Linked DNA regions of Pelodiscus sinensis. The protein of the gene in region 3 interacts with the protein of the main gene of each other region in a biochemical or structural test. Links are inferred from orthologs where the notes say so. Each region holds a gene or a part of one and is shown on either strand. Other genes may lie near its edges. The genes, in order: thioredoxin, CIB1, MAP3K5 and MAP2K4.

Region 1 (7,336 bases), on a different chromosome or scaffold from region 3:
AGCTCCACCAGAGGTTTGATCCTACTCTCACTGAAGTCAATGGCATACCTTCCATTGGTTTTAATGGTGCAGGATTAACCCCCAAGTTCCCATAGGTAAGTATAATTATTCCCACTTTATAGATGAGAGAATTAAAAGCGACAAAGGTAAGAGCCAACATTTTCTAAGTTGGGTGTCTTGTAGTGAGGCAGTGTAATACAGCCGGTCCTCGAGTTGCGAACGGTCAAGTTATGACCATACGCATTTATGACTGAAGTGGTCGTAAATGCGGTCCCCGAGTTACGAACGCAATCCATGCTTACGAACAGCGCAGTTGCCATGTAACTCAATGGGCTCCGAGTTAAGAACACTTCGAGTTATGGCCAAGTGTTTGGTCCGTAACTCATTCATAACTCGGGGAGAGGCTGTGTAACTGTCCTGATTTTGCTAAGCAATGGCAATTTCCCAGTGAAGTCCCTGGGAACTGCTTGCACGCCTCCTCACCTGGAAAGCAGATAGGGTTGCCAAATGGTTTCAACAAACATACCGGAAACACTTGACATTACATCACAATCTACATTACAGCTTATTTAGAAAACACCGGATAGTTATATTTTCTCATTTATATTTTCTCCATTGGTTTCCTGAACAGAAAGCTCAAATACTGGACTGTCCGGTTCAAAACTGGACACCTGGCAACCCTAAAAGCAGACCTCTTTCAGTTAGGTGCCTAAATATGGAATTAAGTGCCTAGTTTTAGGCATCTACCTGTTAAATAGGTTTCATAAATGTATCTACCTTTAAAAGGTCTTGTGGGGATTTGATAATATTTACAAAAACAATCTGAAGATTAAATTCATTCTGGGCTAAACCCTGATGTCCTTATTCCATTTTTACTCTGTGCTTACTGCAGCAAAATTCCCAGTGACTTTATAAGTACTAGGTTACTATAATTGTGGAGCAATACACAGGCTTTTTTAAAAAGTCCAAGTACTTCTTAGTTATCTTCAGTTTCAGAGGTTACTCAGCATCAGTCTCTGATTTGCTAGCAGTTTGGCCATGAGACCCGGTAAACTATCATGCAGCAAGGTGGAAAGAGGCCTTATGCTACTTTTGTACTTCTTTGTATTTTGGGACTAGATAGGGCCCTGCTATTTCTCAGTATAAATCAGAGTAGCCTCATAGCCACTGTAATTTACAGTCAGTTGTCCATGGAGCACAAGGGTATATTCTGGCAGTTGAGAGTAGCAGATCACAGCAGTGGTTCTTTCCTGGCCATGCTTCTAGCATTCCTGTACCTCAAGCTTTAAGAAGGGGTACGTAGCTCCATTATGCCAGTTAAGCACCACCCAGATAATTCTCTTACACAATTACCCACTCTCTGAAGCCTCTAGTTTTATGACCCTATATGCTGCCAAAGTGACGAAAGTGGCCTCAGGTATCTATATATGGTATGTATGAGAGAGACATTTATCCTCTTCACAAAAGGAGAGGAATAAGCAAAAGGTCAAAAAGTACACTGTAAAGACTGCACATCATCTCCCAGGCAGGATAAATCATCTGAGAGCTTACCACATGGTGAAAATCCTTTAAAGACACAAGGAAATGAAATAATAAACACATCTTTTGCCGGAAAGACTGTAACTAACTAGCACAATATCTGTGAATCCAGTTGATAAAGAACCAGGGATTTTCCCTAATGCTTGGTGAAAGGGGATATCTGCTTATGCGGAAACAGAGATAAAGCGTTTATTAGATGTTTAAAATATTTTATCTTTAGTCAAACATTTACCTATTTAACAATTTAACATCTTTTATTCCCTTTGGCTTAGTCTCCACCAAATTCTAAAACATGTAAGACATATATATTTTATAGAGTACAAAATATTCATGTGATTGACCTCAGTGCAAAGGACCTAAAAATCTATTCATCTCAATAATCCAGCCACAATTATAGGGGCACCAATAATCATGTTCTTTGGAATCAAAAGATAATTATGGAGTCACTTTTTACAATCACTCAACTAAATTCATCCCAGGATTTTAAGGCACGCAACGAACACCAAAACATATTAAATGAGCCCCCAAATACATCCCCTCTTAAAAAAAACCACACACACACACAGAATATACAAAAAACAAAAATATACTTTTAAAAGTTCCACACAGTTTAAAGAATTCTAATGAAATTGTCCATTTTAAATATGCAAAATATTTCTGAACCTAGTGGAACTTTAAGGGTGTTCACTGTATCATTATTATTATAAATATACAATCAGGACTAGTTTAATTTAAGCAATACAAGTGACTACTTGAGATTTCATAATTGTAGGAAGTCTGTGGTCTAACACTGACTTGGGAACTCAGTAACCTTCCTGACTGCACCTTCTGAAAGCAAAAGAAGAGAAAACTTCATGGCAACTTGTGAACTCTCAAAAAATCATAAATCATATAGAGTTGACTGAAACTACTTAAATAATGCACACTGGCTGGAGTTTTTCCAGTAATATAAATTGTAAATAATGATATTTCACAAGCAGCAAAATCAGCAATGAACCACTGTGGGCAAGGAATGACGGAGGGAGGAGAGAAAGCATCTGAGTTCTGGGTGGTGCCTAAGCATGTGAAATACTTCCTGGTAATCATTACACAGCAGATATTTCCAAAGTCACTGAGCTTTTAGCAAGAACTGAGAGCCATAAGCTATGTAAGAAAATGTAGGCCCGCCCTTAGCATGTGGCTGTGATTAATGCATTTCTCACTATTTGATCAAAAGTTTCTTTAATGCCAAAAATTCCTCTACCTACCACTCTCTTTTTCTCCCATGTCACACTAAAGAGGCCCCATTTAATTCCAGAGAAACAAAAATACATGCTAAATAGGATGTATTTCCATCCATGTAATCATTTTTTATTTTCCGTAATTAAAAAAAAGAAAAATATCCTTTATTTCTTAACATCTGTTTTCAATTTTCCTGGAAGAAAAAATGCTTTCACATTTCTTATGCTATTATGCTAAGCATCTTTGGCCAAACTTTAGGGATCTTTTTTGCTTGTTTACTTTTCCAAGTAGGCACCAAAACACATTACCACAGTTTCTAATTTGTGTATTTTTAATTTGTGTGTTTTGTATTCCTTTGATGCTTTTTATCAGTCGGTGCTGGTGTATTGGCTTTTCATATATAGAGAGATTAATCAAAACTGCTTGCCTCAGAAAATTTCAAATTTTGGTTGAAAAATGTATCCTTACACCAAAATACTGCAATTGAAAACAATAATTGTTCAGTATTTGAACTCCCACCAAAAAAATGAAATTTTCAGTGAAATCCTCACTCCACCTTTTTTTAGCACATTTTGTGGATTTGGAGGTTTTCAATTAACAGACCATGAATTGGTTTTCAATACATCACACACTTTTATTGTTTCTTCGGCTACGTCTAAACTGGCATGATTTTCCATAAATGCTTTTATCGGAAAAGTTTTCCGTTAAAAGCATTTGTGGAAAAGAGCGTCTAGATTGGCACGGATGCTTTTCCTCAAAAGCACTTTTTGCGGAAAAGCGCCTGTGCCAATCTAGACATGCTCTTCCGCAAAAAAGCCCCGATCGCCATTTTTGCGATCAGGGATTTTTTTGTGCAAAACAAATCTGAGCTGTCTACACTGGCCCTTTTACGCAAAAGCTTTGCGCAAAAGGGACTTTTGCTGGAACGGGAGCAGCATAGTATTTCCGTAAGAAACACTAATTTCAGACAGTAGGAAGTCAGTGTTCTTACAGAAATTCAAGCAGCCAGTGTAGACAGCTGGCAAGTTTTTCTGCAAAAGCAGTTGCTTTTGTGGAAAAACTTGCCAATCTAGACACAGCCTTCAAGTATTAAACGCTTGTGCTGGGCCCTGATGTGCTGTGTTCCCGTCACAAGAGGGGTGGCTAGGGCAAATCTGAGCTACTGGCTCGCTCCCAGCCCCTGGCAATTTTCTTGGAAGAGCGGGGGGGGGGGGGGGTGTCACTTGCAGATTAGCCCACCCCCCCCCAAAAAAACCCGTCTGCAGCCCCGCCCAGCGCAGGGATTGGGCTGCATCAGCGCTGCCCTGTGTCCCTCCCAGGCAGGGGCAGGCGGCGTCTCCCTCCCTCGAGACCACGGGGGAGAGATCTGCTGGGGGGGGGGGGGATTTCTCAGGGTGTCCCTCCCCCAGTCTCGCCGCCTAGCGAAGCGAGGGGGCAGCACACGCGCCGAGGGGAGCGGGCGGGAGCGCGCACTGGCCCCCATGAGCGATGAGCGCGCATCCTCCTCTTCTGGGAAGGGAAGGGAAGGGAAGGGGGCGGGCGAATCGCGCGTGCGCACTAAGGCCAAGGGGGGCTGGCTGCTATATAAGCGCGAGGGTGGCACCCAGCCCGCCACAAGCACTAGCCGGAACAGCCGAGTTGTGTGTGTGACGAGCGCGGGCAGGGCGGCAACGATGGTGAAGCGCGTGGCGAACCTGGTGCGTAGCCAATGGCGCCGGCGCGGGCGCCGCGCTCTCCCCGCTGCCTACGGGCTGGGGCGGGTTCGGTTGGGCGGCGGTTGGAACTGCGGCAGCCCGTTGGCTCGCGGGAGCGCGCGCGGCCCCGTCGCGAGGCGGTGCTCTCGGGTCTGAGAGGCCCTGGGGATGGGCCTTGCCCAGTGCACGGCTGGGGGGGCTGCGCCGGGCCTGTGCGGGGAAGGGGGCGCGCTCCGCTCGCCACTGCCCCTATCTCCACACACACCTGCTGGGTGTGGCCCTGCGGCCGCTGCCACGGAGCGATGAGCCCGCGCTGGGCCTTGGGTGCGAGTCCGCCGCGCGTGTGCTACGGCCCCGGCTTGGAGTCCACCTGTCAGCGTCACACCTGCGCCTTTCCCTGGGCCCCGCGCGGCACGTGGAGGGGCCCCACGTAGCTGCCTGGGGGGGGGGTCTCGATTCAAACGGTGCACAGCACCATTGCTTCCCCTCCCCCCCCAGCCCTCAGGGCATTGCATGGGCTAGAGGGGCGCTCAGCTGTGGGGACACGAGCAAGGCTCTTCCCATGCGAATTCTGCGCTTGGGGCGCAAGCTGTAGTAGCGACAGCGAGGGTGGGAGCCGTCTGTGGTCTGCAGCAGTTTAATTAGAAAGCTGAAGCGAAAACTGATAGGCTGTGTTGACACTGGGCCACTTATTTCGGAAAATCAGCCGCTTTTCTGGAATAAGCTGCGAGCTGTCTACACTGGCTCTTGAATTTCTGGAAAAGCAACGATGCTCTACTGTACAAAATCAGCCGCTATTCCGGGAAAAACTATTCTGCTCCCACTCGGGCATAAGTCCTTATTCTGGAACACTGTTCCGGAAAAGGGCCAGTATAGACAGCCCAGTAGTCTTTCCTGGAAAAAAGCCCCGATCGTGAAAATGGTGATCGGGGCTCTTTTCCAGGAAAGCGCGTCTACATTGGCTACAGACGCTTTTCCGGAAAAAGGGCATTTCCAGAAAAGCAGCCTGCCAATATAGACGCTCCTTTACTGGAAAACTGAAAACGGAATAGTATTCCGTTTTAAGCAGTTCCGGAAATTCATGCCAGTGTAGACACAGCCATAGTGTAAGCTCTGCCTGATGTCGAAATATAGCTTCTTACCTGCCACTAACAACAAGAGCATTTTCAAGTGAAAGCACAAATTTGTTTACACTGTGCAGATGATTCATTGATACTGGTTACATGTCATCTCCATTAGATTTGCTGCTAGTGTGATAGTGTAATGATTACAAGAAGCATGCAGATTCCCTTCTTTGGGGAGGGCCTCAGGTCTAGGATTCTTGCTGTTCATCTGTGCTAGTAGCTTTGCTCAATAGCCTGGAAACTAACATAAGAATGGCCATACTGGGTCAGACCAATGTCCATGCAGCTTAGTATCCTGTCTTCTGATAGCGGCCAATGACAGATACTCCAGAAGGAATGAACGAACAGGTAATCAAGTGATCCATGCCCTGTCCCCCATTTCCAGCTTCTGACATACAGAGCCTACTGGCAACATTCCTGCCCATCCTGGCTAATAAGACTTGATGGACCTAACCTCCGTGAATGTATCTAGTCCTTTCTTGGACTCTGTTAAAGTCCTGGGCTTCTCAACATCCTCTGACAAGGCGTTCCACAAGTTGATTGTGTTGTGTGAAGAAAAACTTCCTTTTATTTGTTTTAAATCTACTATTTTATTTGACACCTAGTTATGTTATGGGAAAAAGTAAAATAACTTTCCCTTAATCTTTCCCCATAGCTGTCATGAGTTTATAGACCTCTGTCATATCCCCCACCTTGTGACTTTTCAGCTTAGAAAAGAGGAGACTAGTCTTTTTAATCTTTCTTCATATGGCACCTGTTGTGTCTGTGTGTGTGTCTCTGTCTCTCTCTCTCTCTCTCTCTCTCTCTCTCTCTCTCTCTCAAAATTAAATAATTACAAACTCCCAAAGTTTCTTAGCCAAGACTTTCAGAAGGGTGACAGGCAATCTAGGCTAGCGAGTGGGCTGCATGGATAGCCCTTCATTTCGGCTGTAAGAGTTTCATATCTAAGACAATCATATTTTCTTCCACTATTTGATCTGAGGAAGTGGGTCTGGCACACGAAAGCTCATCACCTAATAAACCATTTTGTTAGTCTTTAAAGTGCTACATAGTCCTGCATTTTGTTTCAGTTACACCAGACTAACAAGGCTACATTTCTATCACTATCCTGGGAGAGGGTCTTTTTTCCAACTGCACTTAGCTTAGAATTTGTGAGGTGTGACAACTGAATAGTAGCAGAGCTTTCATTGGATGCAGAGGAAGCCCATGGCTCTGAGTCCATGTTGTGTGATCAGCACACACTGCTAATATCAGTAGGAAAAACTGAGCAGAAACTAGTATAATCTGGCAGCCCCACCCCAGGAAACAATGTCTTGTGGGCCACACACCGAACCCTAGTGGCCTCAGAGTCCCCAGGCTCCACACAGTGCTGCCACTTTGAAGCTTCCCCTCTTCTCCCCCCCATCCTCTGTTGCCTTTTTCTGATAGAGGCAGCAAATGGGGGGGGGGGGGGTAATAGTTGTTCATAGCCCTAGTTTATACCTCCTAGATGGATTGCTGCCTATCAATCCACCTTTTAGTGAAGATATGTAGTCCCTTTCCAGAGTTGTGAAAAGGGAGGTGCATGCCTTCAGGATAGCACAGCTCAATACTGAGTGGAGCCCAGAGTACAGGCATTGTGGGATACTGGTGGGAGCCAGTTCTGCAGTTTGTTCCATTGACATTCTGTTCATTTTTTGTCCACAATAAAGGGCTGGGAAAAGTCTCAAATGAAAGCTTTTTATCATCAAAACTGGGCATTTTTCACAACAAATTGCA
Region 2 (7,536 bases), on a different chromosome or scaffold from region 3:
GTGCAGGTCAGAGGGCCAAGCAGAGAATCACCATGATCCCTTCCAGCCTCAGGGTATGTCTAGACTACGTGCCTCTGCTGGCAGAGGCTTGGAAATGAGACATACCGACATAGTCAATGAAGTGGGGATTTAAATATCCCCCGCTTCATTAGAATAAAAATGGCCACTGCATCGTGCCGGCTCAGCTATTTGTCGGCACAAAGCGGCAGGCAAGACGGGGATCGGAGGAAAGCCTTCGCCGACCGATCCCGGAAACCTCGTTGCACGAGGCATAAGGGATCGGTCGGCAAAAGCTTTCCTTGCCGACCAATCCCCGTCTTGACTGCTGCCCCCCGGGGCCCACTTCATTGACTATGTCGGTATGTCTAATTTACATGCCTCTGCCGGCAGAGGCACGTAGTCTAGACATACCCTTAAAGTCTCCTGCTGTGCAGAGACCCTCAACATCACGTGCAGCTCCACTGGCCGTGGGCAGCCCCTGCGCCCCGAGGCCGGCAGTGCCCGCACGGCACAGAGAGAAAGGCACCAGGCGGACGGCCCTCTCGCAGCACAGCAAGCGCACCGTGACTGAACCGCCCAGGCCGAGCACCCCCAGCATGAAGGGCAGCAGATAAGGAGCTGCCCCAGGCAGGACCCGAGTCTTTGCCCCGATGAGTGGGGCTGACCTGGTTCCTCCTAGGGCAGAGGGGGCCAAGCAGCAGGGGGCGTGCACCATACCCTCAGCTCAGGCAGTGTGAGCATCTTGCTCGCGGGGACTCTTGTCTGCAGGATGTCCTCCCTCTCCTCCTTGGGCAGCAGCTCGCTGAATCTCTTGAGGGCGCTTTGGGAGACAGGACGAATTAGAGCCTGGCAGAGTTGCTGCCGGCCTGGGCCTGGCTACTGGGCTCAGCTGGGCCACTCCCCCAGGGGACCCATTCTGCATGCCCCGAGCACACTCCCAGGCTTGAGCAGAAAGACATGGACGCAAACAAGGGGCAAGGGAGAAGGAAGAGTCATTCCCCAGCCAGCCAGCCCCCTTCTCTGCAAGCTACAGCCACAGCTGGCCCCTAGACCCAGCTCCCACCTTCTGGCCGCTCAGTGTGGCACTAGGCACCAGCCTGCTGTAGCCCCCCCGCACCTCCAGTTGCAGAGGTTACGGTGCTAGGTGGCTGCCAGGAAGGCTCCCAGAGCAACCGCTGCAGGGACTTCCCCACAGGCCCCTGCACAGGACCAGCTGCCGGTGCCTGGCCAGTGCGTGACTCGCTCTCAGGCAGGCTGGGCTTGTGCCAGCAGCTTCACCTCAAGCAGCCCATCAAGGGAAACACCAAGAAGCCGTCACACCCTGGAGCAGAGTCCAGCACAGAGCCAGGCTCAAAGGCCCTGTGCCAGGGAGTGCAGCAGGGCGGGGAGCAAGAGCAGGAAGAAGCTCAGGGCAGAAGGAACTACCTGGTCACTGCACACTGCTGCACCGCACTCCCCTCCCCCCGCTAGGATGCATGCCCCCTAGGCCGCGCTGCCACCTCTGCCTGCACCCCTGCCAGTGCGCGCTGCGGCAGCTGCCACCACTCACAACTCAGAGCAAAGGGGACCAGTGCGGGGGAAGGGGGCCCTGCCTCGGGGGCCCGTGTCATATCTGGGGCTTTCCAGGAGCAGCCACCGCCATGCTAGGAGTGCTGCCTCCCCCAGCTACCCCTCCCACTGGAGCCAGGCAGGGCGTCTAGCTTGGGCTCCACCCTATGGCCCAGTGGCTCTGAGCCCTCTGCTGGGTGCGCTCCAGGCAGGCCCTGGCCCCTTCTCCCTGCAACCCTCCTCTCGCTCCTGCGCCCGGCAAGGGGCGAGGGGACCAGCCGGGCGCTCACAGCAAGATCTCCTGCTTGGTCAGGAAGGTCAGCTCCTGGAAAGAGAGGAACGTTACCCAGCGCAGGTAGGGCGGGGCATGGCCGGGGGCGGGGACCGGGGGGGCTGGGGGCAGCGGGGGGAGGGGCCCCGGGGGGGCGCTCGGGGGGTCCGGTGGCGGCGGGGGGGGCGCTCGGGGGGGGTCCGGTGGCGGCGGGGGGAGGGGCCCCGGGGGGGCGCTCGGGGGGGGCCGGTGGCGGCGGGGGGGGCGCTCGGGGGGGGTCCGGTGGCGGCGGGGGGAGGGGCCCCGGGGGGGCGCTCGGGGGGGGCCGGTGGCGGCGGGGGGAGGGGCCCCGGGGGGGCGCTCGGGGGGTCCGGTGGCGGCGGGGGGGGGCGCTCGGGGGGGGTCCGGTGGCGGCGGGGGGAGGGGCCCCGGGGGGGCGCTCGGGGGGGGTCCGGTGGCGGCGGGGGGAGGGGCCCCGGGGGGGGCCGGTGTTGGCGGGGGGAGGGGCTCGGCGGGGGGAGGGGCCCCGGGGGGGTGCTCGGGGGAGGGGCCCCGGGGGGCCGCTCGGGGGGGGTCGGTGGCGGCGGGGGGAGGGGCCCCGGGGGGGCGCTCGGGGGGGGCCGGTGGCGGCGGGGGGAGGGGCCCCGGGGGGGCGCTCGGGGGGGGCCGGTGGCGGCGGGGGGAGGGGCTCGGCGGGGGGAGGGGCCCCGGGGGGGTCCGGTGGCGGCGGGGGGAGGGGCCCCGGGGGGGCGCTCGGGGGGGGTCGGTGGCGGCGGGGGGAGGGGCCCCGGGGGGGCGCTCGGGGGGGGTCGGTGGCGGCGGGGGGAGGGGCCCCGGGGGGGCGCTCGGGGGGGGCCGGTGGCGGCGGGGGGAGGGGCCCCGGGGGGGCGCTCGGGGGGGGCCGGTGGCGGCGGGTGGCGGCGGGGGGAGGGGCCCCGGGGGGGGCGCTCGGGGGGGGCTGGTGGCGGCGGGTGGCGGCGGGGGGAGGGGCCCCGGGGGGGGGTACCTGGTACTCGCCGAGCAGGTCCCGCGGGAGCTGACTGGCCGAGCCCCCCATGCCGCCCCGCGCTGCTTCCCCGGCCGGAGTCCGCGCGAGCGGGGTCCTACGTCACCGTCTCCAGGAGACGCCCCAGCAACGCCCACGGCTTAAAGGGCCGCCTCCGCCAAGTGCCCGGCGCGGGGCATGCCGGGAGCTTCGACCCCCCCCCCCCCCCAGCGCGGGGCATGCCGGGAGCTTCGACCCGCCCCCCCGAGCGCGGGGCATGCCGGGAGCTTCGACCCCCCCCCCCCCCCCCCAGCGCGGGGCATGCCGGGAGCTTCGACCCGCCCCCCCGAGCGCGGGGCATGCCGGGAGCTTCGAACCCCCCCCCCCTCCCCCCCAGCGCGGGGCATGCCGGGAGCTTCGACCCGCCCCCCCGAGCGCGGGGCATGCCGGGAGCTTCGACCCCCCCCCCCCCCCCCAGCGCGGGGCATGCCGGGAGCTTCGACCCGCCCCCCCGAGCGCGGGGCATGCCGGGAGCTTCGACCCCCCCCCCCCCCCCCCCAGCGCGGGGCATGCCGGGAGCTTCGACCCGCCCCCCCGAGCGCGGGGCATGCCGGGAGCTTCGACCCCCCCCCCCCCCCCCAGCGCGGGGCATGCCGGGAGCTTCGACCCGCCCCCCCGAGCGCGGGGCATGCCGGGAGCTTCGAACCCCCCCCCCTCCCCCCCAGCGCGGGGCATGCCGGGAGCTTCGACCCGCCCCCCCGAGCGCGGGGCATGCCGGGAGCTTCGACCCCCCCCCCCCCCCCCCCCCAGCGCGGGGCATGCCGGGAGCTTCGACCCGCCCCCCCGAGCGCGGGGCATGCCGGGAGCTTCGACCCCCCCCCCCCCCCCCAGCGCGGGGCATGCCGGGAGCTTCGACCCGCCCCCCCGAGCGCGGGGCATGCCGGGAGCTTCGAACCCCCCCCCCCTCCCCCCCAGCGCGGGGCATGCCGGGAGCTTCGACCCGCCCCCCCGAGCGCGGGGCATGCCGGGAGCTTCGACCCCCCCCCCCCCCAGCGCGGGGCATGCCGGGAGCATCGACCCGCCCCCCCCCCGAGCGCGGGGCATGCCGGGAGCTGTGACCTTTCCCCTCCGCCCATTCGCGTGGCAGGTCGCGATGTGTCCCCGCCTCTCGGCGCGGAGCATGCCGGGAGCCGCGCGCCTGAGGGGAGCGGGGCCGGCGGGTGAGTGGGGGCGGGGCCGGCGGCTCCTCGCTCAGCGCCCCCCCCTCCGCTGGGAGACCTGGGACGGAGGGAGCAGCTGCTTCGGGCTCGTGGCCCCATGGGGGGGAGGGGCGGGGCGGGCTCGTGGCCCCATGGCGGGGCGGGGCGGGGAGGGGAGGGGCGGGCTCGTGGCCCCATGGCAGGGCGGGCTCGTAGCCCCATGGCGGGGAGGGGAGGGGCGGGCTCGTGGCCTCATGGCATGGCGGGGCGGGGCGGGGCGGGCTCGTGGCCCCATGGCGGGGCGGGGCGGGCTCGTGGCCCCATGGCGGGGCGGGGCGGGCTCGTGGCCCCATGGGGGGAGGGGAGGGGCGGGCTCGTGGCCCCATGGGGGGAGGGGAGGGGCGGGCTCGTGGCCCCATGGGGGGAGGGGAGGGGCGGGCTCGTGGCCCCATGGCGGGGAGGGGCGGGGTCGTGGCCCCATGGCGGGGCGGGGCAGGGCGGGCGGGGCTCTTGCTTCCTCCCTGAGTTCTGCCCACGGCCCCTCATGCCCAGCGGTTGCTTTGTGTGTTCCAGATCCGCTGGGGATGCTGCCTGCAGCGGAGCCCTAAGAGCTGCTGCTCATCTGCCATGGCAGCGCCCCTGGGTGCCAGCCCAGCCCTCCGCAACCCAGCGGGGCTGCCATCCCCGGAGCAGCCAGGCAGCCGCCCTGTGTCCTGCCAGGAAGACTTTGTGTATGGTGAAGAAGATTATGTGCTGTGTGGGGTTGGGTGGTGGAGAAGCAGGTCGGAGGGGCCAGCACGCCACCCCTTGTCTCGCTTTGACAGAGCTTTGCAGGCTGGCTGGGAGGAGAGGATGAGGCTGGGGCTCTTCCGGTATCGCCTGGGCGAGCTACAGACCCGCGTCTTGCCTGGGAAGGTCCAGTTTGTGGCCCAGCTGAACATCCAGAGGGGGCTGGAGAGGAGGCGACCACAGGCCATCCAGAGCATAAGGCAGACATTTGACCCCCAGCAATTCCATTTCAATAAGATCAACCCAGGGGAAATCCTCTTCCATATGGCCAGGGGCCCTACGCTCCACCCTCCCACCAAGGGGCCCTCTCAGGGCCGAGGGGGCCTGCGGGAGCGTGAACTCCCAAGGACACTTGCCCACGTCCTAGTGGTGATTAACGTCAGCCCTCTGGAGTTTGGACACGTGCTCTTTGTTCCAGACCCTGCTCTCTGCCTGCCTCAGATCCTCACCCAGGAGCTGCTCCAGTTCGGACTGGAGTCGGTTCTTCTCAGTGCACACCCAGGCTTCCGGGTTGGCTTTAACAGCCTGGGAGCCTTCGCCTCAGTCAACCACTTGCACCTGCATGGGTTTTACCTGGATTGGCAGCTCCTGATTGAGACGGCCCCAGGCGAAGCCCTGTGCCCCACGCTCAACTTCCACTTCCTGCGGGGGGTCCCGGCCCCAGGGTTCCTGTTCTACAGCGAGGGAGAGGGGCTAGCAGCCCTGGCGCACACCATCTGCCGCGTCACTGATTACCTGGTGGAGAAGGAGATTGCACACAATGTGTTTGTGACCCGGGGAACTGCTCCTGGGGAGCCAGCCCATTCCCAGGCTCGGTCTGGGATCCGGGTGGTCATCTGGGCCAGGAGCTCCTGCTTTGGGAGCAAAGAGGAAACTGCATTTAACGTGGCACTTTGTGAGCTGGCTGGGCACCTGCCTGTCAAAACTGCCCAAGACTTCGAGAGCCTCACAGAGACAACAGCTATTCACACCATCCAGAGACACCTCCTCCCCGAGGCGCAGCTGGCTCAGCTCTGTAGCCAGCTGGTGGCACTTCTCACACAGTAACCCCGTGGGCTCTGCGTTGCACGTGCCTCACACTTCCTTGTGGCCAGTCTGACTCTCGTGTGTTTTGGAATCGCTGCAGAATGGTTCACTGTGGGGCTCTGGCTCTGGGTCCAGTATGGAGGCTGCCTTGTTGTTTTATACCACTGCCCCCGCAGGCACTGCCAACTGGCTCCTCTGGACACTGGCCTGCTGTGCCACTCTGGGCCAGAGAGGAAGGAAGTGTTGTCCTTGCCCTATGGGAGTGGGAGATAGAACTGGGGGGTAACCCCACAATTCTGACCTCGGTAGTGACTGAACTATTGGCTTGTTTCTGGTGAACACAGCCAATAAACCCCCTTTGGATGCTGCAGCATCTACTCTCTTTCCCATAGCACATAGTAAAGGGCCGGTTCGGTCAGAAATGTGCCCGTATCCCAGTGGCTCCTTTCTCTTCCCCAGAGCAGCTGCCGGCATTTACCAGTCAGGGTAAACTTCAAAACATCAGTAATCTACCTGAAAATCCCATCCCGGCCACTATGGACGGAGAAGCCCTTTACACCAACATTCCACATGAAGACAGATAACAGGCCATCAGAAACACCATCCCCAATGACAGCACTGCACACCTGATTACAGAGCTCTGCGACTTTGTCCTCGCCCCCCACTACTTCCAATTTGGAGACCATTTGTATCTCCCAAGTCAGCGGCACAGCCATGGGTGCCCGCATGGCACCACAAACTGATCTTGAACAATGTCTCCTCAGCTTTCACCCCCTAACGCTCCTATTTTATTTATGCTACTTCGATGACATCTTCATCATATGGACCCACAGAAAGAAGACTCTTGAAGAATTTCACAAGGATTTCAACAACTTCCACCCCACCATCAACCTTCACCTGGACCAGTCCATGTGACAAATCCACTTCGTGGATACTACAGTACAATTAAATAATGGACAAATTTCCACCACCCTATACTGGAAACCCACCAACCACTACACTTACCTTCATACCTCTAGCTTCTATCCCAGACACATTTCTCAATCTATCAAGCCCTAAGATACAACTGGATTTGCTCCAATCCCACAGACGGAGACAAACACCTACAGGATTTATATAAGGCATTCCTAAAACTGAAATACTCACCTGGAGAAGTGAAAAAACAAACTGACAGAGCCAAAAAAGTACCCAGAGATGAACTACTTCAAGACAGGCCCAAAAGAGAAAATAACAGAATTGCACTTGTCATTACTTGCAGTCCACAACTCAAACCCCTCCAACTTCTTATCTGCAAGCTACAACCCATCTTGGAAAATGACCTCTCACTCTGAGGCCTTGAGGGAAAGCCCATTCTCGCTTACAGACAACCCCCCAACCTGAAACGAATTCTTTCCAGTCACCATGCTACACAGCTACATCATAAGCATCCAGGAACCCGGCCCGGCAATCAGTGGTGCCAGCTCTGCCCACGTATCTATACAAGCGAATTCGTCCCTGGAGCCAACAACATAAGCTACCAAATCAAAGGCTCATTTAACTGCACATCCAGTAATTTGATCTAGGCCATCAAATGCCAGTGTGCAAGATAACGAGCCTTCACTCTGCGTTGTGTTTAAGCAACAAGTAGCCAGAGGCAGTTCATTCGAGCAATATTGCAAGGGAAGACAGCGTAAGCGGATCTTCAAATGCAAAACAATTCAAAGCCAATATATCTACCT
Region 3 (7,095 bases):
TGCTTCCTCATAGAAAGAGGTTTACCACTGTCAGAAAAACTCCTGCGTTCTTTTGACTTTCTCTTGAAAGAACACAATTGCAGTGTGGACATAAGTGTAGTCAAAACGGCTGGCTGTTCCATGTGCCTCTCTGTGCCATGCATTGGGGAGGGAAGAGACTTTGCACACTGTCCCCACTCCCAGCACAATCATCTCAGCTTCCATTGCCCCCTCTCCTTGCACTTTGAAACGAAACATATTACTCAATATCAAACCAAGTAAAGCAAAAAGTACTTTTCAACAGAAAGAGGAGATATAAAACTAGTAAAAAACACTCCCGCTTTCCTCTTCCCAATCTGTGAAAAGATGTGTATATCAAGAACTGGTTCCTTAGCTATCTAAAAGTCAACAAAAGCTTTTGCTTAACTTCAGGAAGCACAGCCACTAACAAGCATGTTTTATATAGAAATACCTAAAACAGATTCAGCAGTATTTCAACAATGAAAACAAGTAAACCAACCAACCAAAAACAAAACAACCAAAAAAGCCCAAAACAAAAAACACCCTAATGAGAAATTACCAGAAGGTGGCAGGCATGTTCCATCTAGAAATTAAGGTTCCAATTTCCCGGGACAAACTCCCAAGCAACATTGAAAGATTTGCTCAGGATCACAAAGTAGCTTGATGATGCCCCATGCTATTTACCACAACCCCACAGGTTCATTGCCCAACTATGTAGCATTTAGCCCTTAGAAAAATGGCTAGCTGCCAGGTTTATTGCAAGAAAAGCAGGTAGGAATCTCTAATCCAAAGAGATAACTTCCAGCAGCAAGGGAAGTGAAATACTTTGAACTACAGTCTCTGCTGTGATCTGATAGTGTTTTTTTGATCAGAACTGATGTGAGTTGGCTGGCAGCATATGTCAAGTGGGATTAGAGAGGAAGGTGAGGTTAGACTCCTGGATTCAATTCCTGGCTCTATATTTCATCACAGACTTCCCCTGTGATTTTTGAACAAATCAGTTAATCTCCCTGGGCCTAGATTCTCCATCTGTAAAATGGGGAGAATAGTAAAGCTGGGTTCAGTAACTTTCCATGTGATCAGCAGATCTCTTTCAGGGATTTTCCTTTAGCTCAGTGTCACATTATTGGGTTTTAATGTGAGTAGGCAGACAGTTACTGTACACACTGGTGTGTGTTTGCCCCAAATTGGGTACAAAGTGGGCCATGTGAGATGTCAAAGGAAAGCTTATGCTATGCAGGTTCTGTTTAAGCTACTCATGTACTTGTACAACCTGTGTGTGTGTGTGAAGGTATGAATATTAGCTTTAACCAGCCAGCCAAACCGGGTCTTCAGCTATTTTGTGCTGACAGAGATTGCTGCTAAATCTGTCCCCAAACATTTATAATGCATTCACTGTCTTTCTAACACACCAGATAGTTTTCAAAACTGTTAATGTTTAAAAACTCTGTTTCATACTTGTGTTGTCTGCTCTTTGTATGTATCCCTTCCTGGAGGGTGAGTGTGGATTAGTCAGTTTCAGACTCTGTTTCTGGTCAGTTTCATGTCTTGTTGTCCATGGACTAGAAATTCAGCAGTGTTGAAGGCTGCAGGCAAGGCTCAGGGTATATCTACACTACAGAGTTTTTTCGTAAAAACGGTAGTTTTTCTGAAAAAAAAACCCCTTCACTTATGTCCACACTGCAATCAAATTCTTTTGAAAAAAAATTGAAAAAACAGAGGGATTTTTTGACATCGGTACACCTCTTTCTACTCCCCAGCTGACCCCAGTCTCCACTGCCCATTTGAAAGGCACAGAGGTGGTGTTTCAAAGGGGCAGCTGCGTCTCAGCTGAGCTGGGAATCAGCTGTGCGGTGGCTGCCCCTTAGAAATGCCACCTCCATGTGTTTCAAAGGTGCAGTGGAGCCGGGGGTCAGCTGGGAACTCCCCAGCTGATCTCGGCTCCGCAGGGCATTTCCCCTGAGCCCAGGATCAGCTGACCAGGTTCTTCCCAGATGACCCCGGAGCCTGGGGAAATGCTGTGTGGAGCCCGGGATTCGTCTCTGTGCACATTTCAAAGGGGCAGCCTTGGGGTCTGGGGTCAGCTGGGGATTCTTCAGCTGATCTTGGGCTCTGTGCAGAATTTCCCCAGACCCCGGGTTCTGCTGCCGCGGGGAGCCCAGGATAAGCTGGGAGCCCCCAGCTGACCCCAGATTCTGCTGCCACACAGAGCCCAGAATCAGCTGGGCAGTCCCCAGCTGGCCCCGGGCTCCATGACTGCCCCTTTGAAATGCCACATTGGGGTTTCAAAGCGGCAGCGCCGCACAGCTACGTGGTGCTGCCACTTTGAAGAACCCCCTCCCCTCTATCTTATGGAGGCATCAAAGGGGGGAAATTGACTTGCTTATCGGATAGTCGACTAGTCTTTAACGTCCCTACCGGAGATCAGCTGCGCACTCCAGCTGATCCTGGGCTCCGCCTTGAGCTGCCCCTTGGAAACGCTGCCCCGACGCTTCAAAGGGGAAGTGCTGCATAGAGCCCAGGGTCAGCTGGGGACTCTAGCTGATCCTCCATGCAGTGCTGCCCTGTTGAAATGCCGCAGCGGCGTTTCAAAGAGGAGGCACATACGATTAATCGTGATTTTTACATATATACACTTGTATGGACAGTGAAAAACTGCTACAAGTGAAAAGTATTATTGGCACTTGCATGTTAGTTGTTGACTTTTTGCTGTGCATTCAGTGTGAACAAGGAAAGAAGATTAATTAGTTTAACTTTCTGATATAGTCAGGTTCTCTTACACTGGATTCTCTCTATGCTTCAAAGTTTACAGACTAGAAAGATGGAGGGAAATGCATACCTTCAGATAAAAATGCACTTCTCTAAGGTGTCTTCTTTGATTTAAACTGTATTTCTATTAGCTTATTGTAGAACTTTTTTAACCACTAAACTTGTGAGACCTAGCTGTCTGCCTCTTTAAGCAAGTCTCAAAAAAATTACTATATTTTTAAGCTTGTTTTCATGATTCAGTTAGAGAGAATTTACAAGAAAAGGATTAAGGTGAATACAAAGGTATATATGGAGGGGAGGGAAATGTCTGTCTTGGGAGACAGCGTGAGTCAACAGAGTTTCTGAGGTGTCAGCTAGTTCCTTAGCTTTTTCAAAGCTGAAAGGAATAGTAGTTCCAGATGATACACACAGCACGGGATATTTGGAAACCTCTTTGCTTGTAAGGGTCAATATTCAAGCAGTAAATGTTGATTTTACTGTTCACAAACACACCCTGAAAAAAATTGTCATCCATTCTGACAAAATTTACAGCTAGATAACATAAGAAAAATATTGCTTGAGAATGTTACTTTGTATATTGTGATATGTGAGTTTGACAATATGGGTTTTCATGATTATAAGTTTTCACTTTTTGAATGTCATCATATACTATACTATATATATTTTTGTTAGACTCTAAGGCTATGTGTACACTGCCGGGTACTTGTGCAAGAACGGCCATTCTTGTGCAGAGAGTCCACACTGCCTGCCCGCTCTTGCGCAAGAAGATTTACAGTGAAGCTTGGGAGGAGAGGGCTTCTTGCACAAGAGCTATGCTCTTTTCTAACAAATGTAAGCCCTCTTGTGCAAGAGCTTTTGCGCCAGAGGGCAGTATGGATGCACGGCCGGGGTTTCTTGCGCAAAAAAACCCTATGGCTAAAATGGCCATCAGAGCTTTCTTGCGGAAGAGAGCATCCACACTGCCATGGACACTCTTGCGCAAAAAGCATATGGCAGTGTGGACGTGTTCTTGCACAAGAGTTCTTGCCAAGAACCTGCCAGTGTAGGTATAAGGTGCTGCAGGATCATTCGTTGTTTTTTAATCATTTTCTAGTATTAAATAATTATTGGCTGACCTCCCTCCCATACATTTCCTAAAATTTACATTGATAAATATAAAACTAACCATTGATAGCGTCCACTGCATTTGATTTTTTGTTAATACTCGCATTGAGACGCTAAGATCTCTTGAGGAGCCACCCCCACGCAGCTAACCTAACGGAGCCGCCTACAAGAGAGCAGCAGAGGGCGCCGTGCAGGGAAAAAGCGAATCAACAGCTGGTAGGAGCCATAGAGGGAGCCAGCGTCGCGCACCAAGCCTGAGCGAAAGTTTGGCGCGGCCAGAGCCGCCGCGAGCGCAGGAATGCAGCCAGGCCCAGGGGCGGGACTAAGGGAGGAGCCGGGCGGCTACTGGCAGGGCTGCTGCTCTGTGGGTGCAGCCATCCAAGCTGGATGAAGCGGCGAGGCTGAGGAGCGGCGATCCCACAAGTGGTTTGGCGGCTGGTCGGAGCGGCGGGAGGCAGGCGAAGGAAGAGCGAGTGCGAGGGGCTGCGGGAAGAGGCTGTGCCCTGCAGCGCGCTCGCCAGGTGGCCGCTGCCCCGCAGGTGAAGCCAGCCCCGCGCGATGGTGCCCTTGGCGGGCGCCCCAGGAGACTGCGCTGCCCTCCCGGCTCGGCTCGAGCTCGGCAGCCGCTGAGTGGGGGTCGCTTGCTGCCTGTAGGAGCCGGCGGCGGGCAGGGACGGGGCAGGGCGAGCGCGGCGGGCGGCGCGGCATGGCAGCGCCGTAGCCCCGGCGGCACCAGCAGAGCCCAGGGCACGGCGCCCCGCAGGGATGAGCGACAGCAGCGAGGGCATCAGCTTCTCGGTGCCCAGCCCGCCGGGCAGCGCCTGCCCCCACGAAGACGGGCTCAGCCGGAGAGCGGCGCCGGGGGCAGACGGGGGCGCCCGGAGCCTCCTGTCCGCGCCGCCAGCCGGCACCTACTGGAACGAGGACAGCGGCGCTGCTTGCCCTGCGGGGACAGGGACAGGAGGCCGGGTTAAGGGCGGCAGCACCCGGAGGACCACGGTGTCCTACGTGATCAACGAGGAGAGCCAGGGGCTGCTGCTGGTGGCGGCGGCGGAGAGCGGGGCCCTGCAGAGCCTGCGGGAGGCGTGCGAGGCTGTCGGGGCCTCCCTGGAGACCGTGCACTTCGCTGAGCTGGACTTCGGAGAGACCACGGTGCTGGACCGCTTCTACAACGCAGGTGAGCGACCCCACAGCCTCTCGCTCGGCTTCCTTCCCCTGCCTGGCTCCTTGCCTCCCACCCAGGGGCGCTCTTCACAACAGCTGGGCAGTGGCGGTGGGGGTTGTCACCCTAGGATCTGTTTTGCTGGGTGTGACATTCTGGGGTGCAATCTGTCATCCCTGCCCAAGGGTAGACGGAAGCTAATCTATATAGTCCATAGAGACACAGGTTTGTTCCTGCTGCTGTAGTGTGTCAGTTACTTCCTCTTTTGTTCATATGTCAGTGGCACTTTGTTGGGATGACATGCTGTGCAAAGGTTACTACTCATGTAAGCAAAAGACAAGCAGCTTCCCCTGGACTCCCTTTCCCTTGATAGAGGTAGGCATATCTCTCTCAGATTAGGGTTACACACTGTGCTTGAGGTTCCATTTTTCTGGACCATCCATCATTACCAGAAAATGGAACCTCAAACACAGGGTCAGGCCCACTTTTTCCTCTCAGATGTTTTCTGTGATTCTTGACACTTTGAAGAAATAGGTTTCTTGCACTTCTTGGTAGTTGGGACATTGGGGTAGAAGGTGTGTATCTGTCTCAGTCTCTGCCATACAGTGTTAGTTGCGCCTCTCATTTTAGCGCTTGTCTCCCAATTTTCTCAGTCCTCATTGATTCTGTATTAGGTGAGTCTCTCTCTTAATTTTGCAGATTCCACTGAGGTGGAGTCAACAGGGCTCTGGATGTGACTAAGGATGGGAGTACATCTGCCTGATATAACTACATGATGAGGGCCTAACATAAAATTTAGAATGCTACAAGTCTTTTCTAGTTGTTGTTGTTCTTTTATTGAGCTGTAAAATGGCAGTATAGTTTAAAACAGATTCTTAGACACTCTTGTGGTTTGTCCCATGTCTTGACAAAGAGGCTATTTCTTGGACTACAGCCCCTTCCATTGGTATTTAGGTAATATCCCTCAGACAACTACATTGTTTACATGGAAAAAAGGAGCAGCTAAAATACATTAGTTTCCTTTAATGTTATTTGGGGGGAAAGAAGGAACTAATTCTAAAAGGAACTAATTCTAGCTCTGCCCGCACCACCAGGTAGCACTTTTTGGAGCTCTGGTTGTCTTGCTACAGAGCTCAGTTTGGGAACCACCATTTTCAAATATACATATACAGGCAGTCCCCAGGTTACATGGATCCGACTTACATCGTATCCCTACTTACAAACGGGGTGAGGCAACCCCGCACTAGCTGCTTCCCCCCAGCAGACCACGGAGACGCGGAGCGGCTTTTCTCAGCAGACACCTCAGCTTGAGAATAAAGGACTGAGGGAAGTGAGGTATGGGAGAATAAAACTGAGCTCTGGAGAAATGTTTGGCTAGAGTTTCCCCTACAATATGTACCAGTTCCGACTTACATACAAATTCAACTTAAGAACAAACCTCCAGTCCCTATCTTGTACGTAACCCGGGGACTGCCTGTAGTGTTTTTTTTCCCCTCTCTCACTGTACTGAGCTCTTGCAGTTCCCATTTACTTCCGCTTGATTTCAGCACTTTTGAAAATAAAGTCCAATGTGAATATTTCAACATCTTCTTTATGTGGACCCAAAACTTGGGATAGTCTTCATATGTTTGGAAGAGACTGTGTCATATATCAATTGGATAAACTATTTAAGACAGCTGGGATTAAACAGAACTATGTATACGGAGTGTAACAGTTGCCAAGAAAGTCTCTGAATTCTGTCCTCTATCCTGATTTACATAGTTTCAAGTTTGCTACTGGGACCATGTTTGACTTGCTGGCAGTGTATTCACTAAGTTACTTGGCTGCAGTCAGTCTGGCAAGGCCACAGAGCCTGAGAGCTTCATGTTATCAAATAGGTAAGGTAAATGGGAGGGGCGTTGGGGAAGGGAAATAGCAATGGCCTATCAGATTTGTAAAGACTTTATAGAACCAGAATGATCATATTAAATGCTCTTTACAAAAGGAGAGAGAGAATTTGGAGCTAAGTTTTGACCAGATCTGTATGTGTTTGGAACACATTAGTTAAAATGTTTAAAATA
Region 4 (7,136 bases), on a different chromosome or scaffold from region 3:
GTGGGCACACTGCCCCCCCCACACACACACACAGCCTGTGGGCACACTGCCCCCCCCACACACACACACAGCCTGTGGGCACACTGCCCCCCCCCACACACACACAGCCTGTGGGCACACTGCCCCCCCCCACACACACACAGCCTGTGGGCACACTGCCCCCCCACACACACACAGCCTGTGGGCACACTGCCCCCCCACACACACACAGCCTGTGGGCACACTGCCCCCCCCACACACACACACACAGCCTGTGGGCACACTGCCCCCCCCCACACACACACACAGCCTGTGGGCACACTGCCCCCCCCACACACACACACAGCCTGTGGGCACACTGCCCCCCCCCACACACACACAGCCTGTGGGCACACTGCCCCCCCCCCCACACACACAGCCTGTGGGCACACTGCCCCCCCCCCACACACACAGCCTGTGGGCACACTGCCCCCCCCCCACACACACACAGCCTGTGGGCACACTGCCCCCACCCACACACACACAGCCTGTGGGCACACTGCCCCCCCCACACACACACACAGCCTGTGGGCACACTGCCCCCCCCCACACACACACACAGCCTGTGGGCACACTGCCCCCCCCCACACACACACAGCCTGTGGGCACACTGCCCCCCCCCCACACACAGCCTGTGGGCACACTGCCCCCCCCCACACACACACAGCCTGTGGGCACACTGCCCCCCCCCCACACACACAGCCTGTGGGCACACTGCCCCCCCCCCACACACACAGCCTGTGGGCACACTGCCCCCCCCACACACACACACAGCCTGTGGGCACACTGCCCCCCCCACACACACACACAGCCTGTGGGCACACTGCCCCCCCCCACACACACACAGCCTGTGGGCACACTGCCCCCCCCACACACACACACAGCCTGTGGGCACACTGCCCCCCCCACACACACACACACAGCCTGTGGGCACACTGCCCCCCCCACACACACACACACAGCCTGTGGGCACACTGCCCCCCCCACACACACACACACAGCCTGTGGGCACACTGCCCCCCCCCACACACACACACACAGCCTGTGGGCACACTGCCCCCCCACACACACACACACACAGCCTGTGGGCACACTGCCCCCCCCCAACACAGCTGGGCACATGCCCCCCACACACAGCCTGTGGGCACACGCCCCCCCCACACACACACAGCCTGTGGGCACACTGCCCCCCCACACACACACAGCCTGTGGCACACTGCCCCCCCCCACACACACACAGCCTGTGGGCACACTGCCCACCCGCCCGCCCCCCCCCACACACAGCCTGTGGGCCACACTACCCACACACACAGCCTGTGGGCACACTGCCCCCCCCCACACACACACACAGCCTGTGGGCACACTGCCCCCCCCCACACACACACAGCCTGTGGGCACACTGCCCCCCCCACACACACACACAGCCTGTGGGCACACTGCCCCCCCCCACACACACACACAGCCTGTGGGCACACTGCCCCCCCCCACACACACACAGCCTGTGGGCACACTGCCCCCCCCCCACACACACACAGCCTGTGGGCACACTGCCCCCCCCCACACACACACAGCCTGTGGGCACACTGCCCCCCCCACACACACACAGCCTGTGGGCACACTGCCCCCCCCACACACACACAGCCTGTGGGCACACTGCCCCCCCCCACACACACACAGCCTGTGGGCACACTGCCCCCCCCACACACACAGCCTGTGGGCACACTGCCCCCCCCCACACACACACAGCCTGTGGGCACACTGCCCCCCCCCACACACACAGCCTGTGGGCACACTGCCCCCCCCCACACACACACAGCCTGTGGGCACACTGCCCCCCCCCACACACACACAGCCTGTGGGCACACTGCCCCCCCCCACACACACACAGCCTGTGGGCACACTGCCCCCCCCACACACACACACAGCCTGTGGGCACACTGCCCCCCCCCACACACACACACAGCCTGTGGGCACACTGCCCCCCCCCCACACACACACAGCCTGTGGGCACACTGCCCCCCCCACACACACACACAGCCTGTGGGCACACTGCCCCCCCCCACCACACACAGCCTGTGGGCACACTGCCCCCCCCCACACACAGCCTGTGGGCACACTGCCCCCCCCCCACACACACACAGCCTGTGGGCACACTGCCCCCCCCACACACACACAGCCTGTGGGCACACTGCCCCCCCCACACACACAGCCTGTGGGCACACTGCCCCCCCACACACACACAGCCTGTGGGCACACTGCCCCCCACACACACACAGCCTGTGGGCACACTGCCCCCCCCCACACACACAGCCTGTGGGCACACTGCCCCCCCCACACACACACAGCCTGTGGGCACACTGCCCCCCCCACACACACACAGCCTGTGGGCACACTGCCCCCCCACACACACACACAGCCTGTGGGCACACTGCCCCCCCCACACACACACACACAGCCTGTGGGCACACTGCCCCCCCCCCACACACAGCCTGTGGGCACACTGCCCCCCCCACACACACACACACAGCCTGTGGGCACACTGCCCCCCCCCACACCCGCTCGCCCCCTCCCCGCGCGCTCCCCCCCGCCTGCCCCTCCGCTCGCCAGGCCCAGGCCGGCCCCGTCAGGCCCGTGGCCCCGCGCCCTGAGGCGGCAGCCGGCGGTCCCGGCGCGCGGGCCGGGGCGGCTCGAGGGCCCGGCCGGGCCTAGGCGCAGGCGGAGGCCGCGGGGCCGGGGCCTGGCGGGGCCGCTCACCCTGCATGCTGCTGAGCGCCGTGTGCGCCTGCGAGCCCGGGGCGCCGGAGCCGGAGCCGCCGCTGGGGCTGGGAGCCGCCATTGTGCGCCGCGCCGCGCCCGCCCGCAATGCAGCAGGGACCCTCCCAGGCAGGACACCTAGAGCCCCGACTCCGTATCGCAGGCGCCGCGCCCGGCCCAGGCCGTCCCCGCCGGGCTCGCCTGACCCCTCCCCGCGCCGCGCCGCGCCGGGACCCTGCCCCGCTCCTGCCCCGCCGGGTCCGCCTGACCCCTCCCCGCGCCGCGCCGGGACCCTGCCCCGCCGGCTCTGCCCCGGCCCTGCCCCGCCGCCCGCCGCCCGCCGCTGCCCCGGCCCTGCCCCGCTCCCTCCCCGCCGCCCGCCGCTGCCCCCGGCCCTGCCCCGCTCCCTCCCCGCCGCCCGCCGCTGCCCCGGCCCTGCCCCGCCGCCCGCCGCTGCCCCGGCCCTGCCCCGCCGCCCGCCGCTGCCCCCAACCTCCCTCGAGCCGAGCCCGGCTGCCTCCCTGCCCCGCCGCTGCCTCCGGTCCCGCTCCTGCCTCTCTGCCCGGCTGCCTTCGTGCCCCTACCCTGCTCCAGCCTCCCGCGCACTCCTGCCTCTGGCCTTCCTGACTCCCCTGCCCTTCTGCCTTCCTACCCTCGCCTACCTGCCCTGAACCCCTGCCCGGCTCCGGCCTCTGGCCTCCCTATATCCCTGCCCTCCTATGCCTGCCCAAATCCTGCCTCTGGCCTCCCCCATAACCCTACTCATCTCCTGCCTCCCTCATACCCCTACCCTGCTGCTGCCTCTGGCCTCCCCCATATTGCTGCCCTAGTGCTCTCTAGCCTGCTCCCATGCCCTTTCCCTGCTCTTCTGCTGTTGCTTCCAGCCTGCTCCCCTACCTCTTCTCTTCCCTGGTCTGCTTCTGCCTCCGGCCTGTCCCTTTAGCCCTGCCCTCATACCCCTTTCCTGCCCTTCTCCTGCTACCTCTACCACTATTCAGCCATTCCTCATCAAAATGGCCACTCAGTTTTCTTATCAGAAACACATATCTGAATTCCTTTGCTGTTATATCCTTTTCAGTATCCCTTTCTATCTGGCCTTCCATAAGATCCAGTCTACTAATATCCATTAGTTCTGGGCCAACCCTGGGGAGTAGGCTCAGGGCATGAGGGCTTCCCCTGCTCCGCTCACCCACCCAGTGCTCCAACCAGTGAGTGGGATCTGGGTGCAGGAATCTTCGGAATGCCTGGAGTGCCAGGTGGGCAGACGGAGAAGAGTCAGGACTGCAGGGGTGAGCCCCAGCCCATGCATAGCTATGCTCCTGCAGTGTGGCCTAGTAACTAAAGCATTGGACTAGGACTCAGGAGAATGTTTTAGTTCCAGCTCTTTTCCATCCATTTCTCTGTATTTCTGTCCCCCATTTATAAAAGTGCAACTATACTATCCCCCTTTGCAAAGCATTTTGGTATCTACTGATGTAAGTCCTAGGTATAGAGTTATAGAATCCTAGGGCTGGAAGGCTATGTCTACACTCGCGGGCGAGAAATATGCAAATGAGGCTAAGCATGGCATATCCCCTGAAAATAATCAGAGTAGCAGCATTGCACAAGAGGAATTTTGTTGCACAAGAAGGGGCAGTGTAGACAGCTCCTTCTGGCGCAAGAGTCTCTTGGCGATATTCCATTTTTAGCTTCATTTGCATATTTCTCACACAAGAAGCTGTGAGTGTAGACATAGCTGAAGAGACCTCAGGAGGTCAAGTCTAACCCCGTGCCCAAAGCAGGACCAACTCCAACTAAATCATCCCAGCCAGGGCTTTGTCAAGCCAGAACTTAAACACCTCTAGGAGTGGAGATTCCCTTAGGAAACCCATTCCAGTGCTTCACCACCCTCCTAGTGAAATAGTTTTTCCTAATATCCAACCTAGACCTCTCCCACTGTAACTTGAGACCAGTGCTCCTCCTTCTGCCATCTGTCACTACTGAGAACAGCCTCTCTCCATCCTCTTTGGAATCTCCCTTCAGGTAATTGAAGGCTGCTATTAAATCCTCCCTCACTTTTCTCTTCTGCAGATTAAATAAGCCCAAATTTCTCAGCCTTTCCTCATAGGTCATGGGCTCCAGCCCCCTAATCATTTTGGTTGCCCTCCGCTGGACCTCTCCAATGCGTCCACATCCTTTCTATAGTGGGGGCCCCGGAACTGGACGCAATACTCCAGATGTGGCCTCACCAGTGTCAAATACAGGGGAATAATAGATCTAGATCTTCTCTAGATCTGCAGGCAGTGCTCTTATATGCACCCTAATATGCCATTGTCCTACATAAGAACAGCCGTACTGGGTCAGACCAAAGGTCCATCTAGCCCAGTAGCCTGACAAACAGAGGCCAGGGACACCATTTCTATCCCCTGGCTAATAGCCTTTTATGGACCTAACCTCCATGAAATCATCTAGCTTCCCTTTAAACTCTGTTATAGTTCTAGCCTTCACAGCCTCCTCTGGCAAGGAGTTCCACAGGTTGACTACCCGCTGTGTGAAGAAGAACTTTCTTTTATTAGTTTTAAACCTGCTACACATTAATTTCATTTGGTATCCTCTAGTTCTTCTATTTAGGGAACTAATAAATAACTTTTCTTTATCCGCCCTCTCCACACCACTCATGATTTTATATACCTCTATCCCCCCTCAGTCTCCTCTTTTCTAAACTGAAAAGTCCCAGTCGCTTTAACCTCTCCTCATATGGGACCCGTTCTAAACCCCTAATCATTTTAGTTGCCTTTTTCTGAATCCTTTCCAGGCCAAAATATCTTTTTTGAGGTGAGGAGACCACATCTGTACACAGTATTCAAGATGTGGGCATACCATAGTTTTATACAGGGGCAGTAAGATATTCTATGTCTTATTTTCTATCCCTTTCTTAATAATTCCTAGCATCCTATTTGCCTTTTTGATCACCGCTGCACACTGGGGCTACGTCTACACTGGCCCCTTTTCCGGAAGGGGCATGTAAATTTCAGCAGTCGTCGTAGGGAAATCCGCGGGGGATTTAAATATCCCCCGCGGCATTTAAATAAAAATGTCCGCCGCTTTTTTCCGGCTTTTAAAAAAGCCGGAAAAGAGCGTCTAGACTGGCCCCGATCCTCCGGAAAAAGTGCCCTTTTCCGGAGGCTCTTATTCTTACTTCTTATTTAAATGCCGCGGGGGATATTTAAATCCCCCGCGGATTTCCCTACGACGACTAGTGAAATTTACATGCCCCTTCCGGAAAAGGGGCCAGTGTAGACGTAGCCTGTGTGGAAGTTTTCAGGGAACTATCCACGATAACTCCAGGATCTCTTTCCTGATTTGTCATAGCCAAATTAGCCCCCATCATACTGTTCGTATAGTTGGGGTTATTTTTCCCAATGTGCATTACTTTACACTTACTCACATTAAATTTCATTTGCCATTTTGTTGCCCAATCACTCAGTTTGGTGAAATCTATTTACAGTCCCTCACAGTCTGCTTCTGTCTTGACTATCCTAAACAGTTTGGTATCATCCCCAAACTTTACCACCTCACTGCTTACCCCTTTCTCCAGATCATTTATGAATAAGTTGAAAAGGATTGGTCCCAGGACTGACCCTTGGGGGACACCACTGGTTACCCCTCTCCATTCTGAAAATTTACCATTTATTCCTACACTTTGTTTCCTGTCTTTTAACCGGTTCTCAATCCAAGAAAGGACCTTCCCTCTTATCCCATGGCCATGTAATTTACACAAGAGCCTTTGGTGAGGGACCTTGTCAAAGGCTTTCTGAAAATCTAAGTATACTGTATCTACTGGATCCCCCTTGTCTGCATGTTTTTAACCCCTTCAAAGAACTCTAATAGATTAGTAAGACATGATTTCCCTTTACAGAAACCATGCTGACTTTTGTCCAACAAATTATGTTCTTCTACATGCCTCACAATTTTATTCTTTACTATTCTTTCGACTAATTTGCCCGGTACTGAAGTTAGATTTACCGGTCTGTAATTGCCAGGATCGCCTCTAGAGCCCTTTTTGAATATTGGTGTCACATTGGCTACCTTCCAGTCCTTAGGTACAGAAGCCGATTTAAAGGATAGGTTACAAACCACAGATAATAGTTCAGCAATTTCCCTTTTGAGTTCTTTTAGAACCCTTGGATGAATGCCATCTGGTCCCGGAGATTTGTTAACATTAAGTTTTTCTATTTCTTCCAAAACCTTCTCTAATGACACTTCAATCTGAGACAGTTCCTCAGATTCATCACTCACAAAGGACGGTACAGATTTGGGAATCTCCCTAACATCCTCATCCGTGAAGACTGAAGCAAAGAAATCATTTAGTTTCTCCGCAATGG

What was found.
Region 1: the proteins of MAP3K5 (region 3) and thioredoxin form a complex in vitro, tested with the Homo sapiens proteins (3 studies listed by BioGRID). The link is inferred for Pelodiscus sinensis from reciprocal best matches to the Homo sapiens genes MAP3K5 and TXN.
Region 2: the proteins of MAP3K5 (region 3) and CIB1 form a complex in vitro, tested with the Homo sapiens proteins (2 studies listed by BioGRID and IntAct). The link is inferred for Pelodiscus sinensis from reciprocal best matches to the Homo sapiens genes MAP3K5 and CIB1.
Region 4: of the proteins of MAP3K5 (region 3) and MAP2K4, one has a biochemical effect on the other in vitro, tested with the Homo sapiens proteins (3 studies listed by BioGRID). The link is inferred for Pelodiscus sinensis from reciprocal best matches to the Homo sapiens genes MAP3K5 and MAP2K4.

What each region holds. Positions count from the first base shown.
Region 1 is NC_134716.1:10,346,816-10,354,151, reverse strand, and holds the start of thioredoxin, read left to right. Parts: upstream 1-4,321; 5' UTR 4,322-4,433; coding exon 4,434-4,457; intron 4,458-7,336. UniProt on the Homo sapiens protein: Participates in various redox reactions through the reversible oxidation of its active center dithiol to a disulfide and catalyzes dithiol-disulfide exchange reactions.
Region 2 is NW_027466005.1:108,311-115,846, reverse strand, and holds the start of CIB1 (calcium and integrin-binding protein 1), read right to left. Parts: upstream 3,020-7,536; 5' UTR 2,877-3,019; coding exon 2,826-2,876; intron 1,874-2,825; coding exon 1,839-1,873; intron 821-1,838; coding exon 718-820; intron 1-717. Other genes in the region: GDPGP1 (GDP-D-glucose phosphorylase 1), read left to right, coding at 4,631-5,839. UniProt on the Homo sapiens protein: Calcium-binding protein that plays a role in the regulation of numerous cellular processes, such as cell differentiation, cell division, cell proliferation, cell migration, thrombosis, angiogenesis, cardiac hypertrophy and apoptosis.
Region 3 is NC_134713.1:97,632,536-97,639,630, reverse strand, and holds the start of MAP3K5 (mitogen-activated protein kinase kinase kinase 5), read left to right. Parts: upstream 1-4,088; 5' UTR 4,089-4,638; coding exon 4,639-5,050; intron 5,051-7,095. UniProt on the Homo sapiens protein: Serine/threonine kinase which acts as an essential component of the MAP kinase signal transduction pathway. Plays an important role in the cascades of cellular responses evoked by changes in the environment.
Region 4 is NC_134730.1:262,747-269,882, reverse strand, and holds the start of MAP2K4 (dual specificity mitogen-activated protein kinase kinase 4), read right to left. Parts: upstream 3,018-7,136; 5' UTR 2,855-3,017; coding exon 2,773-2,854; intron 1-2,772. UniProt on the Homo sapiens protein: Dual specificity protein kinase which acts as an essential component of the MAP kinase signal transduction pathway. Essential component of the stress-activated protein kinase/c-Jun N-terminal kinase (SAP/JNK) signaling pathway.